Linked DNA regions of Oryctolagus cuniculus. The protein of the gene in region 1 interacts with the protein of each later gene in a pairwise test. Links are inferred from orthologs where the notes say so. Each region holds a gene or a part of one and is shown on either strand. Other genes may lie near its edges.

Region 1 (5,681 bases):
ATGAGGCATCAATTAATAGTTATTGAATGGCTACTTAATGACTAGGCAGACTGGCATATACATATTTCTACTGGGTGTCATTTCTGTCCCATAGAGAATTCTCTTGGGCAAGTTAAATTGTGGTCAGAAAAGTCATTAGTCTTGTGGTTTTGGTGGCAGTGTGGTGGTTTGATTTGACAGTCACTTAACCTTTATACAGGTGGACCAGGGTCGTGACCGCAGGCCTGATGAATACAGGAATCCTGATTGTAGTACCCCCTTCTTTCTTGTGGTTCCCTATCAGTTGGGATTTTAACTGGTTTTTGCGGAAGTTCTCTAGTTGCAAAAAGTTATTTTGGCTTTATTTTGCATAATGTATGAGGTGTCCGTCTTTGCCTTGGAAGTTTCTTGGTCTGTTCCCTCGAACACAAGTGCTTGTGTGGGGTGTGCCAGGGTTCTTGTGTAGTGTGTAAAAGCGTGCTGTTGATGCGGTTTTGAGAGGAAAAGGTCACTTGGCATCCAAGGGTGGATGCCTGTTTTAAAACTCTTGTCCTGATTGGTTCCTTCTTTCTCTTTTCTTCAGGAAGTGTGTTTTCTTTGATATTATTGACAGGACTAAGGAGAAGTTTCAAACTTAAATCTTTGCATATGCGCTGCTTTGGATGTGTATGTTGAATTTTGTACCTTTATCTTCACTTGCAGAAATAAGCGGGTTTTGAAAACAAAAAGGAGAAGGGGTGCACGTGGAGGCCAGGATCCGGGCCTCCATCCTCACAGGAGCGAAGAGGCAGCTGGGAGTTCTCCTCCCACCACCACCACCACCACCGTCGCCATGGGTCCCGACTGCCCACCGCCTCCCCCTCCCCCTCCCCCCAACAACAACAACAACAACAACTCCAAGCCCAGCGGCCACAAGAGCCCCTGCGTGCCCAACATGACCGAGCGGCGGCGCGACGAGCTGTCGGAAGAGATCAACAACCTGCGCGAGAAGGTCATCCGGCAGTCGGAGGAGAACAGCCAGCTGCAGAGCCAGGTGCAGAAGCTCACGGAGGAGAACAGCACCCTGCGAGAGCAGGTGGAGCCCCCTGCCGCCGAGGAGGAGGCCGAGGAAGACGAGCTGGAGCTGCGCGGGGCCGCGGCAGCTGCTGCCCCGCCACCCCCCGTGGAGGAGGAGTGCCCCGAGGACCTCCCGGAGAAGTTTGATGGCAACCCGGACATGTTGGCGCCCTTCATATCCCAGTGCCAGATCTTCATGGAAAAGAGCACCCGCGATTTCTCCGTGGACCGTGTGCGTGTCTGCTTCGTCACCAGCATGATGACGGGCCGTGCGGCGCGGTGGGCCTCAGCCAAGCTGGAACGTTCACACTACCTGATGCACAACTACCCCGCCTTCATGATGGAGATGAAGCACGTCTTCGAAGACCCCCAGCGCCGGGAGGCCGCCAAGCGCAAGATCCGCCGTCTGCGCCAAGGCATGGGCTCGGTGGTCGACTACTCCAACGCCTTCCAGATGATCGCCCAGGACCTGGACTGGAACGAGCCCGCGCTCATCGACCAGTACCACGAGGGCCTGAGCGACCACATCCAGGAGGAGCTGTCCCACCTGGAGGTGGCCAAGTCCCTGTCAGCGCTCATCAGCCAGTGCATCCAAATCGAGAGACGGCTGGCCCGGGCGGCTGCGGCGCGCAAGCCCCGCTCCCCGCCGCGTGCGCTTGTGCTTCCCAACGTGTCAGGCAACCACCAGGTGGACCCCACCGAGCCCGTGGGGGGCGCCCGCATGCGCCTCACCCAAGAAGAGAAGGAGCGCCGCAGGAAGCTGAACCTATGCCTCTACTGCGGCACCGGTGGCCACTACGCCGACAACTGTCCTGCCAAGGCCTCCAAGTCCTCGCCGGCGGGAAACTCCCCGGCCCCGCTGTAGAGGGACCTTCAGCGACCGGGCCAGAAATAATAAGGTCCCCACAAGATGATGCCTCATCTCCACACCTGCAAGTGATGCTCCAGATCCATCTTCCGGGCAGACACACCCTGTTTGTTCGAGCCATGATCGATTCTGGTGCTTCCGGGAACTTCATCGACCACGAATACGTCACCCAAAATGGAATCCCACTGAGAATCAAGGACTGGCCAATCCTCGTGGAAGCGATCGACGGGCGCCCCATCGCGTCCGGCCCGGTCGTCTACGAAACTCACGACCTGATTGTAGACATGGGAGACCACCGAGAGGTGTTGTCCTTCGACGTGACTCAGTCTCCTTTCTTCCCCGTGGTCCTGGGCGTACGCTGGCTGAGCACACATGACCCCAACATCACCTGGAGTACCCGCTCCATCGTCTTCGACTCCGACTACTGCCGCTACCACTGCCGCCTGTACACGCACCTGCCGACTGCGCCCCAGCCGCACCTCTACTACCCGGTGGACGGCTACCGCGTGTACCACCCGGTGCGCTACTACTATGTGCAGAATGTCTACACCCCAGTCGACGAGCATGTCTACCCAGACCACCGGCTGGTGGACCCCGGCATAGAGATGATCCCAGGAGCGCACAGCATCCCCAGCGGGCACGTGTATACCCTGTCGGAACATGAGATGGCGGCGCTGCGAAACTTCGTGGCCAGGAACGTGAAGGACGGGCTCATCACCCCCACCATCGCCCCGAACGGGGCCCAGGTCCTGCAGGTCAAGAGGGGCTGGAAGCTGCAGGTGTCCTACGACTGCCGCACTCCGAACAACTTCACCATCCAGAACCAGTATCCTCGTCTGTCCCTCCCCAACCTGGAAGACCAAGCCCATCTGGCCACCTACACCGAGTGTGTACATCATGTGCACTGCTGCCATTCTTGTCATTCATGCCATTTTTATCATTTGTGCCAAAGGTGCCATTCGTACCATGCCTACCCTTCGTACCCAGCCTACCCTGTGGGCTACGCCTGGTACCCAGTGGGCCGAGACATACAAGGAAGAGCGCTCTACATCCCTGTCATGATCACCTGGAACCCGCACTGGTACCGCCAGCCCCCCGTGCCGCAGTACCCCCCGCCGCAGCCGCCGCCGCCGCCGCCGCCGCCCCCGCCGCCGCCGTCGTCCTACAGCTCCCTGTGAGCCCGCTCGAGGCCGCGGGACCCCCGCCCTCCGGGCCTCCTCCTGTCCAGCTTCCCCGTCAGTGACTGTGTGCTGAAGGCGGCCGCCGGTGCCGCAGGTCAGGCATCGGCCAGCGCCTGCCCGCTGCGCTCTGCCCCGACTGCCATCTCGCGGGAGTCCACCTTCCAGCCTCCGTCACCACCCGGATTTCTAGCTGCCAAATTCTGAACCCAGAAGCTGACCCCACACAGGAAATGCTGACTTCTCCGAGGAGGGGGAGCGGAGGAGGAGGACAGGACTTCTCGCAGTTTCGGTCCTCTGAGTTACACCCCTGGAGGACCCGCGCCTTATGAAGGAAGCCGCATTTACTGGTGCAGTGGGCAGAGGCTTCCGTGATGCTAGTGCTGCACCTTCAGAAACTTCACCTTCTTCGAGCTCCACGTTCATGGTTCCGTTAATTCTCAAGGAGCAGCAACTCGACCGGTTCTCCCAGGAGCGGGCAAAACCCCTGCAACAGGAAACACCTCAGGCCTGGAAAGGAAGTGCTCTATCAGAGACTCTGGCGCGTTAAGAGTGTGCCTTCACACCCTGGTGCAAATCACACGTACCCAAGAACTCTGGCTCGACACAGCATCGACACAGCATCGTACCATCACCACGCCAGGAACAGCTTCCACCAAGCGTTCCGTGTCTGTGACGTGTCATGACCACCTCTCAATGACGCGCGTGGGCCGAAGAACAGCGAGTGGATAGGACTCCTAAACCCTGTACCCAACTCTTAAGAGACTCAGAGTTCCTTGTTTCCAACTTTTAGTGGTCTTTCAGAGGGAGTTTTCACGAGTGTTGGTGACGGGTTGCAACAGCAGCAGCTTACAGTTTTGGAAACATCTATCTGTGTGTGTGCCTCCATACGCATCTGGGCATTCCATCCTCAGTTCCCTCATTGGACTGTACCATTTTAGGATGCTGAGAGAGGGGCAATGATTTTGCACTCAGACCCACACTCCTGTACAAGGGAGGGATGGATGTCTTTGAGGAAGAGAAATTGTCTTGAGGATACTGACCTTCCTGGTGAGCTTTTTCATTCAACAGGGTGACCTGATGTAACCACTTTGAAAGGATCCCTCCAGGTGATGGAGCCAACATGAAGCTCTCAAAAATTGGGTGAAAGGCCTCACACACAGCTGTTGCCAATCCAGTGACCCCTCTGGTGTCAGCTGGACGCTCTGTGCTAACCTGGGACTGCCTGACTTCTTTAGCCTGGTCCCTTGCTATTACCTTGAAGTGTTTGTCTAACCTCTTTGTGTTTGATTCTTTACTACTGCCATTAACCCTGATGCAGGATTTGTGTCATCTTCCTGCTTGGTTGCTGAGACTTCATTTTGCTGCCTGGCAAAAGAAGAGGCAGGCTTCAAGGAGCGTGTGTTTGAACACACAGGCCTCCCATTGCCAACAAGCAGTTTGAGCAGTAGAAATAGTATCGCTTACCTTTAAATTGCTGCCATGAAGAGGAGTCTGATGGTGAAGTTTACTTTTTCATCAACATCCTTCACATGTGTATTGCCCCCCTTTCCTCCTGCATGTTTAAATACTTTGAGCTGTAGTAGTGTACCCTCAGCAGTGTTTTCAAGTGGTGACTGTGCTTTCAGAAATTTCCATTGAATTACAAAGGACTAATTCTTATTGATAAATTAAGTAAAAATGATGGTATAGCTTTGCATAAAGTGTTAATTTACTGTGAATTTCTTACAACACTGTGAATGTGTGGCTCCTCAAAACTGAAGTATTTGTACAATTGTTTATCTTTAATCTTTTAATATTAAGTATTTCAATTTATCAATTGACCTTTAAAAATCACAGAAAAAGGACCTACAAGTTCAATGAGGAAGCCTAATTGGCTACTTGTTTAATCTAAAACCAGTTTCCCTTTTTTCTTCAATGGAATTAGAAAGCTTGTCCTCATGTGTTTAGAGTAATTACCTTTAAAATGGTGCATTTGTGCTTCTGGACTATTTTGAAGCATTACTTCAGTTTACCTCAAATCAGTCCATCCTCCATACATTTGAACTCAACACTGTTCAGTGTCAGACTTAACAGTTGTTGATTGACTTCAAGCTGCAGAGTGCCCAGACACCGGCCTTTGCCTGCAGCACCCAGCCCCAGCCCTGGCATGTGCACACAGACATTTGCCATCACTACAAGTAGAAACCTGGAAAAGTTGGCCAACGACAACAACCGTCAGGGAGAGCATGCTGGTATGGGTTAATTGCCCCCAGACAGTCCCTGGCACATGTTTGGCTATTTACTGAAGCTTGTGATGGACTTTCTGGCAGTGTGTACAATGCTTTATTGCTGTGATCTATAAGTATTAGAAATTAAGGATAAGTAATCTTAGATTTATTGTTCTATGATATTGACATTTTGACTAAGTTTCCTTTCAGTCAATTCACTTATTTTGTTGCTATTGATCAAATTAATATTAATTGGATCCTTTAAATTTTTGGGGCATTTTCCAACAAAGATGCCTTTTTTCATAAGAAAGGAGAAAAGCAAAGGATAAATAAAGAAGTTAGAAAGGGAGCAAAATAAAATATGAAGGCAATGTACAAATCAAAACATCA
Region 2 (5,226 bases), on another chromosome or scaffold:
GGATTTCAAAATTACTAGGTTTTCAGGGCCAGGGTTGTGGCATAGTGGGTAAAGACCTCGCCTGCAATGCATGCATCAGCTATGGGTGCCAGTTCATGTCCCGGCTGCTCCACTTCCTATCCAGTTCCCTGCTAATGTGCTATTGAACAGAGCAGGAGATGGTCCAAGTCCTCAGGCCCCTGCCACCATGTGGGAGACCGGGATGAAACCCTCTCTCCTTTCTCTCTCTCTCTCTCTCTCTTTCTCTCTCTCTCTCTCTCACACACACACACACACCCACACACACCCCCACACACACTACACACACATACACACACACTGCATCTGCCACTCTCTGTAATTCTGCTTTTAAAAATAAATATAAATCTTTATTTTAAATTACTGGATTATCGGGCCCATAGTCTAAATAGTATTGCCTTGATTCATTTGTGTTCTACGCTGTGTAATTTTCTAGTCTCTCTAAATCACCTTGTAAACATTTTATTACAATTCTCCCACATTTAACATTAGAAAGATCCATCCCAGAGTCATGCTATTGTTTAGAAAATTTTCCTAGCCATGAAGACCTGTTACTCTTAAAGATAGGTAGAGATCTCCGTGAGTGAGATCCCAGTGGAAAGAACGGGTCATCAAAGAAGGAGGTACCTTTCTCTGAAGGGAGGAGAGAACTTCCACTTTGACCATGGCCTTGTCTAAATATGATCAGAGTCGGTGAACTCAGGGGGCTTCCAAAACCTTGGCAGCTCATGACAAGAGCCTAGGGTGATTACTGATGCCCTAAACAAGAGTGTCAATTTGTTAAGTCAACAACAGGAGTCACTGTGCACTTACTCCTCATGTAGGATCTCTGTCCTTAATGTGTTGTCCAATGTGAAGTAATGCTATAACTAGTACTGAAACAGTATTTTACACTTTGTGTTTCTGTGTGGGTGCAAACTGATGAAATCTTTACTTAATATATACTAAATCGATCTTCTGTATATAAAGATAATTGAAAATGAATCTTGATGTGAATGGACTGGGAGAGGGAGCGGGAGATGGGAGGGGTGCGAGTGGGAGGGAAATTATGGGGGAGGGAAGCCATTGTAATCCATAAACTGTACTTTGGAAATTTATATTTACTAAATAAAAAAAGAAAAATAGATAGGTTGAATGTTTAGTGTTTTTCTGACTATCCTTCAAGGCACTTCTGGTACTTCAGTGGTCTATATAGATCTACCAACAGTTAAAGAGACTATGCTGCAAACTGAAGCTAAATGGAAGCATTATTCTCCCTTCTACTGCTTTTATAGTCATTTATGTATCTCCTAACTCTAACGTTCAAACGTCTGGTCTGGTCGACAGGCCCCGTTTAGGGCAAAGGAAGTTTTCTGGAAACTCCATCCTAGTCACCTTCTCCAGCAAAGCTGTTTTTAAATCAGGACCGGCTCCACATGCCTGCACAGGAACATCTGTGCTCCTGTCCCTTCCCTCATGCTCCCTCTCCCTTCTACAGCATTGCCACTGTCGTTACACACACATGCATTTTCCACGTCCTTGAAATAGTCCAGAACTGCTGACGTGCTGTGCAAGGAGCACAGTATGAAATTTAGGGGAAAAACAGGTGTTGAAGGGATAATAGGTGTCTCGTGTTTCATAATTCGTGGCAGGATTGTGCCATAGACAAGTGATTGAACTAGGTAAATCACACACCGAATTTTACTGCAGGAAATTAAGGTATTTATTTGCATTCAACCCTCCGTACAGTAGCTGCTCAGGGTGTAATTACTTTGCGCTAGTACTTGGGGTTGGCCTGTAATGTTGCAGAGTCAACACCTCTCTGGCTGAGACACACGACCGAGTTGCACCATGTGTTCAGAGACCCTCCCTCAAAAGGCAGCCAGAGCCCAGATCCGCAAAGGGATGCGCAAGGGCGCGGAGTGAGGGAGGACGAAGGGCGACGCCCCCGGACTCGCTAACTTCCCCAAGTGGAACCAGAAGCTGTCCAAGAGCAGCAGACCCCAGCCTCGCCACACGCATCTGGGGTGTCGCGTTCCTCCGCGGCTCCCCGCCTTTCGCCCGCCGCCCGCCGCCCGCCTGGGACCGCCCCCTCCCGCCTCCAACTCCGCCTCCTCCAGGGCTGGCCACGCCCCCGGCCGCCCCTATCCCGCCCCCTGCCGCGCCTCCCTCTCCCCCCGCCGCTGCTGGCTCCCGACACGCGCCTGCGCCGTGCCGACCGCTCGGCCTGGTGGGCGGGCCCGCGCGCCGCCCGCAGCCCGGCGCGTGACTCCGCCCACACCCGCCCCTCCCCGGGCCCGCCTCCGCGACGAGTCCTCGCCGCGACGCCCGAGCGCAGCCTTCCGCGCAGCCCCGCCAGCCAGCTCGGCGCGATGGACAATCGCATGCGGCTCGTGAAGGCCCTGCTGGCCCGGCCGCTGCGGCCCGCGGCGCGTCGCTGGAGGAACCCGATCCCCTTTCCCGAGACGTTTGACGGCGACACCGACCGGCTGCCGGAGTTCATCGTGCAGACGGGCTCCTACATGTTCGTGGACGAGAAGACGTTCTCCAGCGACGCGCTCAAGGTGACGTTCCTCATCACCCGCCTCACGGGGCCCGCCCTGCAGTGGGTGATCCCCTACATCAAGAAGGACAGTCCCCTCCTCAGTGATTACCGGGGCTTTCTGGCCGAGATGAAGCGCGTCTTTGGCTGGGAGGAGGACGAGGACTTCTAGGCCGCCGGAGCCTCGGGCCCGGGGCCGGCTGCCCTGGGGAGGGTGGGCTGCCCGCCGGCCGCCGCCAGGGTCGCCGCGGGCGGCCCCCGCCGCGCTCGCGCCCGAGTCGAGTCCCGCCGCCCCCCTGCTCCCCGAGTCGCCGCGGCGTCCCCTCGCCCCCGCCCGCCCGCCCGCGTCGTGCTTGCCTTTGTTCCAGGAATAGCGCTCCAGGCTGGCGCTGCTGCCTCTGGGCCTGGCTCTGGACAGCGCCGCCGCCCTGCCCGCTGCCGCCGGCCCGGCCTGTGCCCTGCACCGGGGGCCGCCGTCCGGCCCTCGGGCTGCAGGCTGGGCCCCCGCCGCGCGGCCGACGACCAACCACGCACCGCCGGCCGCCCCCCGCCAGCCCGCATCGCTCTGCCCACGCACCTGCGCCGCCGCCGCCGCCGCCGCCGCCGCCCCCGGCCTCCCGCCGACAGACTGCTCTTCTGAGCCACCTGGACTCCCCTCCGAGGGGTCTGGGCTGGCCGCGGCCCTCGGACCCCGACTCCGACAGCCGGCTGCCCGGCGGGGCCAGCCGGCCTCCCACCATGAGTGAGGCCGCGCCCCCTCCTCCCAGAGACACCTTGAGGGTCTGGGCGCTGAATCGCGCCTGTCACGTCCTCCCGTGGACATGACAGTAGTTCTCCCCGCCCCCCCGAGTCCCGGTTCTTCCGAACGTGCAGCTGTCTCTCTGATGTGTGCCTTGTGTCCCACACTATGACCCTGTGGTCTTCGCGGCTCTTTTACACTACCTGTACAGAAGTCTTTCCATTCTTTCAATAAATGTCAGACCCTGTCCAATAAGAAACTGCGTTCACTGAGTGTGCCACCTTTCCCTCCGTGCTCCTACAAAGCGGGTCTGTATCTTGTTCAGAAACCGCATGACCTGTTTCAGTGTTTCTTTGGACCATCCTAAATCAAGATTCCACTCCTGCCGTGGTCCTGGGGATGGAGAACCTACCACTGAGCATTCTGTCGCTGGTGCTGAATCCTATAATGCTATTAGAAATGTTTCATAGCTCTTTGGAAATGAATCTTTACTTCTCTTTTTTTCCCCTAGGTGATTTGAGAATTCATCCATAAGGGTTCATTGAAATGATTTCCTTATTTCTCAAAAGTTATTTGAAAGCCCAAGTCTCAAATTGTTATAAAATATAAAATTTATACACTCATTGTTTCTAAGCAGCTGTGAAAGTTTTATTTACTCTGATTTTTTTTATTTTCATTTTCAAATCCCAAGAAACATTTTGAACATTTTCTTAGTTTCCAGTGATGCTGTGCACTTCTGCAAATTCCCAAGGGATCACCAGTGAGGTGAGCTAACTAATGTGAAAAGGCAGTCTGAGTGACTGGCCAGTTAAAAGGGGGAGCCAGAGGATGTTTTAGCCCTGTGTTATTCTCCCCCAAACTATTAAAAGTAAAGCAATCAAAAATCTCCTAATTGACTCTTTCTCGCCATAGCTATGTTTAACTGAATCACAGAATAATCAAATTCAATAATCAATGGAAACAAAGTAGGATTTTTCCTAAAAGAGGTAAAATTCTTTTTAAAAAAATGCTTTATATTTTAGCATCTTGAGCAAAATAATTACATTTAGACATTCTCAGTTACTGTGTAAATATTTTGCTTACAGGAAATATTATAATTGTTGACTAATTGTATGCCAAGTGGTTTAGTATGGACATTAACCTGTATGGTTCTCATAATCCCTAATCATTCCTTTCAGAATTTATTTAATCCTCATCAATATTGTTCACTTATCAATACATTAATAAATATTTTTAAAGCACACAAAAAAGTCCATTATTTAGAAAATGAGTGGAATTATACAAGTGTTTTAAAGAAGCATCTCCAGATCCTTGGTATTATAAGAAGTGTAACAAATGCAGACATGAGATTGTTCATTTAGTTTACAAACCTTGTTTGTGATACAAAAAGCATTAAAAGTATATATAAACTCTGTTAATGAGCAGAGAAATCATTATCACTCATTATTTAAGTGCAGCTTAATTTCATATTTGGTGTTGCAAAAAGACTGTACTCCCTCAGTAATTGTTGGTCAACAAAATACAATATTTTAATAAAATATATGATACTCATATGGAGTCTTATAGGGCACTGTTCTGATGCAATGTCAAATTTTGCCCCATTGCTAGTTTGGGCCATTTTCCAGTACATGGATGAGGTAGAGGAGTCAAATACAGCTATGTGTTTTCATGATTTTCCTCTTTGTTCATTGTAACAGGTAAGCTTTTGCCGTTTTTTGTCCATTTTGTGCTGCTGTGACAGTATTCACAGACTGGGTAATTTATATATAATAGACATTTATTCCTTCACAGTTCTAGAGGCTGTGAATTACAAGATCAAGTCCCTATGGACTGATATTGTTTGGGTTCAGCCGTTGTTTACGTTGTTGACATCTTCTGTTGGAGTGCCAGTTTGAATTGAATTCTGACTGCTCCTCTTCTTGATCCAGCTCCCTACTAATGCTCCTGG
Region 3 (5,282 bases), on another chromosome or scaffold:
GGATTTGCAGCGATAGTACTAAGGTAGACCAAGGAACAAGAGGAATAAAACTGTAGGGGCATCATTATGTGGAGAATAATGGGTTACTAGCATAGCTTAATGGATACATAGCAGGTCCCCAGCCAATTCTATTTACTTTTAGAGCCAGGTGGACACAGATAGGGGGAATATGCAGGACTTACCGGGCAATGTAAACTGCTTCCAAACACTTTCAACACCACCTCATTAGAATCTACTTTAAAGCCAAACATCAAATATACTTAACACAGTTGTCCTTTATTCACATCAAGGTGGTCTGACTAATGAGAACCTTGAATTGGCTCTCATAACGAACCTGATTCTCATTGTTTTATCAGCCCCATAAATCATAAAAAACTTCACTTTGTTAAGAAATCTCAGTTTTCTCGGATTTTTAGAAAGACCTTGACATGTCAAACTGTGAGTTAATGATGTTTCCAGGTTTCTGGGAATAAAAAAAATATCACATATAAAACACAGCCAAATAATGTACCTTCAAGCTCTACATACAACCCTACAAATGACTGCACATGAATGACAGAATTTTACCTTATTTACCTTATTGTTTGTCAATTAGACAAACAATAAAATGTAAAACACCTCTTGGGCATTATTCTACATTCATATGGTTTGGAAAAGCACACACACTAGAAGTGAGGATGAGAGCAGATTCAGTGTTACCTTATCAGCCCACTTCAGGAACATCTGATTCTGTTGGGATATTTAACTTTTCCCAGAGACAGATGAGGTAACAAAGACTTTTCAGGAGAGTAAACCTAAGAGATTAGCATGTATAGAAACAGGTAGGTATAATTTTTTCTCCATCTTAAGGAAACCTAAAATTGTACTATTCTGCAGATTACAAACCAAATTTCTACCTACATTAACAATATGCCTGGGAAAGCAGTGGAAGATGGCCAAAGTACTTGGGCACTGCACCCACATGGGAGACCTGGATGAAATTCCTGGCTCCTGGCTTCGACCTAGCCCAGCCCTGGCCAATGTGGCCAATTGGGAGTGTAAACCACTGCTTTTGCTTCTCTGTAACTGCCTTTCAAATAAATAAATAAACAAATCTTTAAAATAAAAAAGAGGCTACCTGGTTGAACTTTCAAATCACCTTTGGCCATAAATGAGGTACACATCAATTTCCAAAGAGGCTTACAACATTTCTAACAGGTTTAGAGAGTTCAGCAGCTGGGATTGAATGGTCACCAGTGAGGTCTCCATTCCCAGGACAACCAGAGGACTCGATGTAAAGGCCATATGAACCATCGAATGTCAGCGCATATGGATTTGTTTTAAGACTTCTTTATTATTTTATTTATTTGAAGGGAAGAGTGATAGAAAAGCAGACAGAGGGAAAGAGAGAACTTTCATCTGCTGGTCCACTTCTCAAATGGCTGGGCCAGGAGAAAGCCAAGAGCCAGGAACTCTACCCAGTCTCCCACACAGGTGGCGAGGCCCAAGCACTTGGGCCATTTTTTCTTGCGTTCCCAAGCACATGAACAGGAAGCTGGATGGCAAGAGAAGGTGGGGTTCCAACCAGAACCCCAGTATGGGATGGCAGAATTACAACTATGCCATGCAGTCTCAAATGTGGTTTTGAAGAAAATATGGACCGATTTGGCAAGATCACACAAGGAAAGGTGGCACACTCAGTGAACGCAGTTTCTTATTGGACAGGGTCTGACATTTATTGAAAGAATGGAAAGACTTCTGTACAGGTAGTGTAAAAGAGCCGCGAAGACCACAGGGTCATAGTGTGGGACACAAGGCACACATCAGAGAGACAGCTGCACGTTCGGAAGAACCGGGACTCGGGGGGGCGGGGAGAACTACTGTCATGTCCACGGGAGGACATGACAGGCGCGATTCGGCGCCCAGACCCTCAAGGTGTCTCTGGGAGGAGGGGGCGCGGCCTCACTCATGGTGGGAGGCCGGCTGGCCCCGCCGGGCAGCCGGCTGTCGGAGTCGGGGTCCGAGGGCCGCGGCCAGCCCAGACCCCTCGGAGGGGAGTCCAGGTGGCTCAGAAGAGCAGTCTGTCGGCGGGAGGCCGGGGGCGGCGGCGGCGGCGGCGGCGGCAGCGCAGGTGCGTGGGCAGAGCGATGCGGGCTGGCGGGGGGCGGCCGGCGGTGCGTGGTTGGTCGTCGGCCGCGCGGCGGGGGCCCAGCCTGCAGCCCGAGGGCCGGACGGCGGCCCCCGGTGCAGGGCACAGGCCGGGCCGGCGGCAGCGGGCAGGGCGGCGGCGCTGTCCAGAGCCAGGCCCAGAGGCAGCAGCGCCAGCCTGGAGCGCTATTCCTGGAACAAAGGCAAGCACGACGCGGGCGGGCGGGCGGGGGCGAGGGGACGCCGCGGCGACTCGGGGAGCAGGGGGGCGGCGGGACTCGACTCGGGCGCGAGCGCGGCGGGGGCCGCCCGCGGCGACCCTGGCGGCGGCCGGCGGGCAGCCCACCCTCCCCAGGGCAGCCGGCCCCGGGCCCGAGGCTCCGGCGGCCTAGAAGTCCTCGTCCTCCTCCCAGCCAAAGACGCGCTTCATCTCGGCCAGAAAGCCCCGGTAATCACTGAGGAGGGGACTGTCCTTCTTGATGTAGGGGATCACCCACTGCAGGGCGGGCCCCGTGAGGCGGGTGATGAGGAACGTCACCTTGAGCGCGTCGCTGGAGAACGTCTTCTCGTCCACGAACATGTAGGAGCCCGTCTGCACGATGAACTCCGGCAGCCGGTCGGTGTCGCCGTCAAACGTCTCGGGAAAGGGGATCGGGTTCCTCCAGCGACGTGTCGCCGGCCGGATCGGCAGGGCCAGCAGGGCCTTTATCAGCTGCACCCGACCGTCCATTTCGCCTTGCTTGCTCTGCTGGGCTTTGCTGGCTCTGCAGGGCTGTGCAGAGGTCAGCAAGCAAGGAGGCGTCCCCGGAAGTGCGTTTCCACGGAGGCGGGTCTAGGCCCAGGGTGGGCAGGGCCAGGGCGGGGCTTATTCACTTCAGTAGCTTTTGCTTGCAAATCTGAATGGTCACTAGTCCGCAGATGCGTCTCGCGCTAGGGCAGGGAAAGTGGGAACGGGGGTGGGTGGGTGTTGAGGGGGCGGGCCAAATACCCTGAAGGAGGCGGGGTCGTAATTGAAGGATGGGCCTGAGTTTTCCCAGGGGGACTGCAGAGGCGGAGCGGGGATGGGGGATGAGCCCAGGAGATTTGGGATTGAGTGTTGAAGGCGAGTTCGCTAATCTGCGACAGCAGATTTCAAGTTCTGAAAGTTGATGAGTCCTCTTGCTGCCCTCCTCCACGTCCCCCCCCTCATCTTTTTCTTGGGTATTTCTAGGCAGACCCTTGGCTCCGGATGCCTAGAATGCAGTTCTGGGATACTGCTTCTTCATGTATCTTTCAGCCAGAGAAGAAATGGCTCCCTGGCAGCAGATATGGTGGTTTTGCAGTATCAACAGGAGGGCCCCCAATGTGAGCAAATATCGTCCAGGACAGAATATTAAAATAATAAAGCACCATGAGCAATTAATATAAGGCAGGTTAAATGTTAAGAAATCTCAATTTATTATAAATGCTAACCATAATTGTTACCTATTTTGCTGATCCATAGGCAATTCACGACATTGCTGCTAGCTCTAAGGCTTGCAGGAGAGATACAGTGATTCTGCTTGCAAAATGCAGTCATGTATAATGTAACATAATCATTACAATAACAGATCACCACCTTTTTCATATTGTATTGTTTAGAAGCCAATTGCATTCCCCATTAACCACTTAGGCATTAAGAGGGCAACATCCGAGGAACATCTGAGCAACCCCTGAGAGAGCTGGCCAGCGGTGTGCTGCTCCTCCGCGGAAGTGGGGAAAGCGGCGGGGGTGCCGCCCCTCTGCGGAGGCGGGGGGGGGGGGGGGGGGACGGCAGCTAACCTGGAAGGGCAGCAAACCCGGGAAGGGCCGAGCAGACAAAAGAACAGCGCAGGGTCTGGTGTCGTTCCTCCGCGAATTAGGGAGCGACATAATGGGATGGAGGCCACTTGGAGTCCGTTTGCTACAGTATGGCCATGCCACAGTTGGTAATTTAGCCGCCTTTTGAAGGGCATTCTGCATGTTTCCATGTTTTGGCAATTACAAATGAATCAGCTATAAACAATCATGTAAAAATATTTGCATGAGCATATTTTCACTTCTCTAGGGTAAATACCTACAAGAAGGATTTCTGTGTCACATGATTCAAAAAAGAACTGTCATTCAACCAGGAGTAGAAGGGAACTCCTAAATCTGATTAAAGGCATCTATAAAAATAATCCCGTACAGCTAACATCACAGTTAAACTGGGGAAACTAGAATATTTCTCACCGTCAGTTCAAGAGTAAGGCAAGTAAGTACACTCTAAACACTTCTAGGCAGTGAAGTTAGGAAAAAGCAAGTAGGTAAAGGAAAAAGAAATAAAAGTTTGGACTGCAAGAAGGAAAGCACTTGTTATTTGTGGACAACATGATCTCTAAATAGAAAATGGATTCTTGAAATATGTTCATTGGTGTACTCCTTTCTGCCCAAGGATGCCACTGAGGAAGCATTATCAAAATCTCTCTCACTGCTGCTGTCATGTCTAAGCCATAGTCCCCTAAAAAGCTGGAACAGCTTTGGAAGCTCTCCATCAGAGGGTTGAGCTCTAAAACAACTGATGAGAGTCTGACGAGCCATTTTGAGCAATGGTGACCGTGTGGTAATGAGGTCAAACTCCACAGGTTCCAGGAACTGTCATCTATGCCACCATGAAGGAGGTGGTGGCAGCTATGACTTAAAGACCACACAAGGTGGATGGAAGAACTGTGGAACCAAAAATGGCTGTCTCAAGCCTCTCAAAGATGGGGGAGGGGGCACCTAACTGTGAAAAAGATCTTTTGTCATCGCATTAAAGAAGACACTGAAGAACATCCCCTCAGAGATGATTTTGAACAGTGTGGGGAAATCGAGGTAATTGAGATCATGACTGATTGATGCAGTGGCAAGAAGAGGGGTTTTGCTTTTGTGGCCTTGGATGACCACGACCCTGTGGATAAGACTGTCGTTCAGAAATACTGTGCTGTGAATGGTCAGAACTGTGAAGTGAGGGAAGCTCTGTCCAAGCGAGAGATGGTTAGTACGCTTCACTTACCCAAAGCAGATGAAATGGTTCTGGAAATATTCATAGTGATCATGGTGGGTGGTTTTCGTGGCAATGGAAACTTTGGTCATGGAGGAAATTGCAGTGGTTGTGGTGGCTTTGGTAACCGCTGAAG

What was found. The genes of interacting proteins can lie anywhere in the genome.
Region 2: the proteins of PEG10 (region 1) and retrotransposon Gag-like protein 8B interact in binary tests that used the Homo sapiens proteins (3 or more experiments, as listed by UniProt). The two-hybrid records come from large-scale screens. The link is inferred for Oryctolagus cuniculus from reciprocal best matches to the Homo sapiens genes PEG10 and RTL8B.
Region 3: the proteins of PEG10 (region 1) and retrotransposon Gag-like protein 8C interact in binary tests that used the Homo sapiens proteins (3 or more experiments, as listed by UniProt). The two-hybrid records come from large-scale screens. The link is inferred for Oryctolagus cuniculus from reciprocal best matches to the Homo sapiens genes PEG10 and RTL8C.

Annotation. Positions count from the first base shown.
Region 1 is NC_091447.1:41,284,963-41,290,643, reverse strand, and holds part of PEG10 (retrotransposon-derived protein PEG10), read left to right. Parts: intron 1-681; coding exon of another isoform or gene 682-811; coding exon 812-1,900; coding exon of another isoform or gene 1,901-3,081; 3' UTR 3,082-5,681.
Region 2 is NC_091453.1:112,832,607-112,837,832, forward strand, and holds retrotransposon Gag-like protein 8B, read left to right. Parts: upstream 1-2,277; 5' UTR 2,278-2,369; coding exon 2,370-2,711; 3' UTR 2,712-3,537; downstream 3,538-5,226.
Region 3 is NC_091453.1:112,806,108-112,811,389, forward strand, and holds retrotransposon Gag-like protein 8C, read right to left. Parts: upstream 2,945-5,282; 5' UTR 2,858-2,944; coding exon 2,516-2,857; 3' UTR 1,690-2,515; downstream 1-1,689.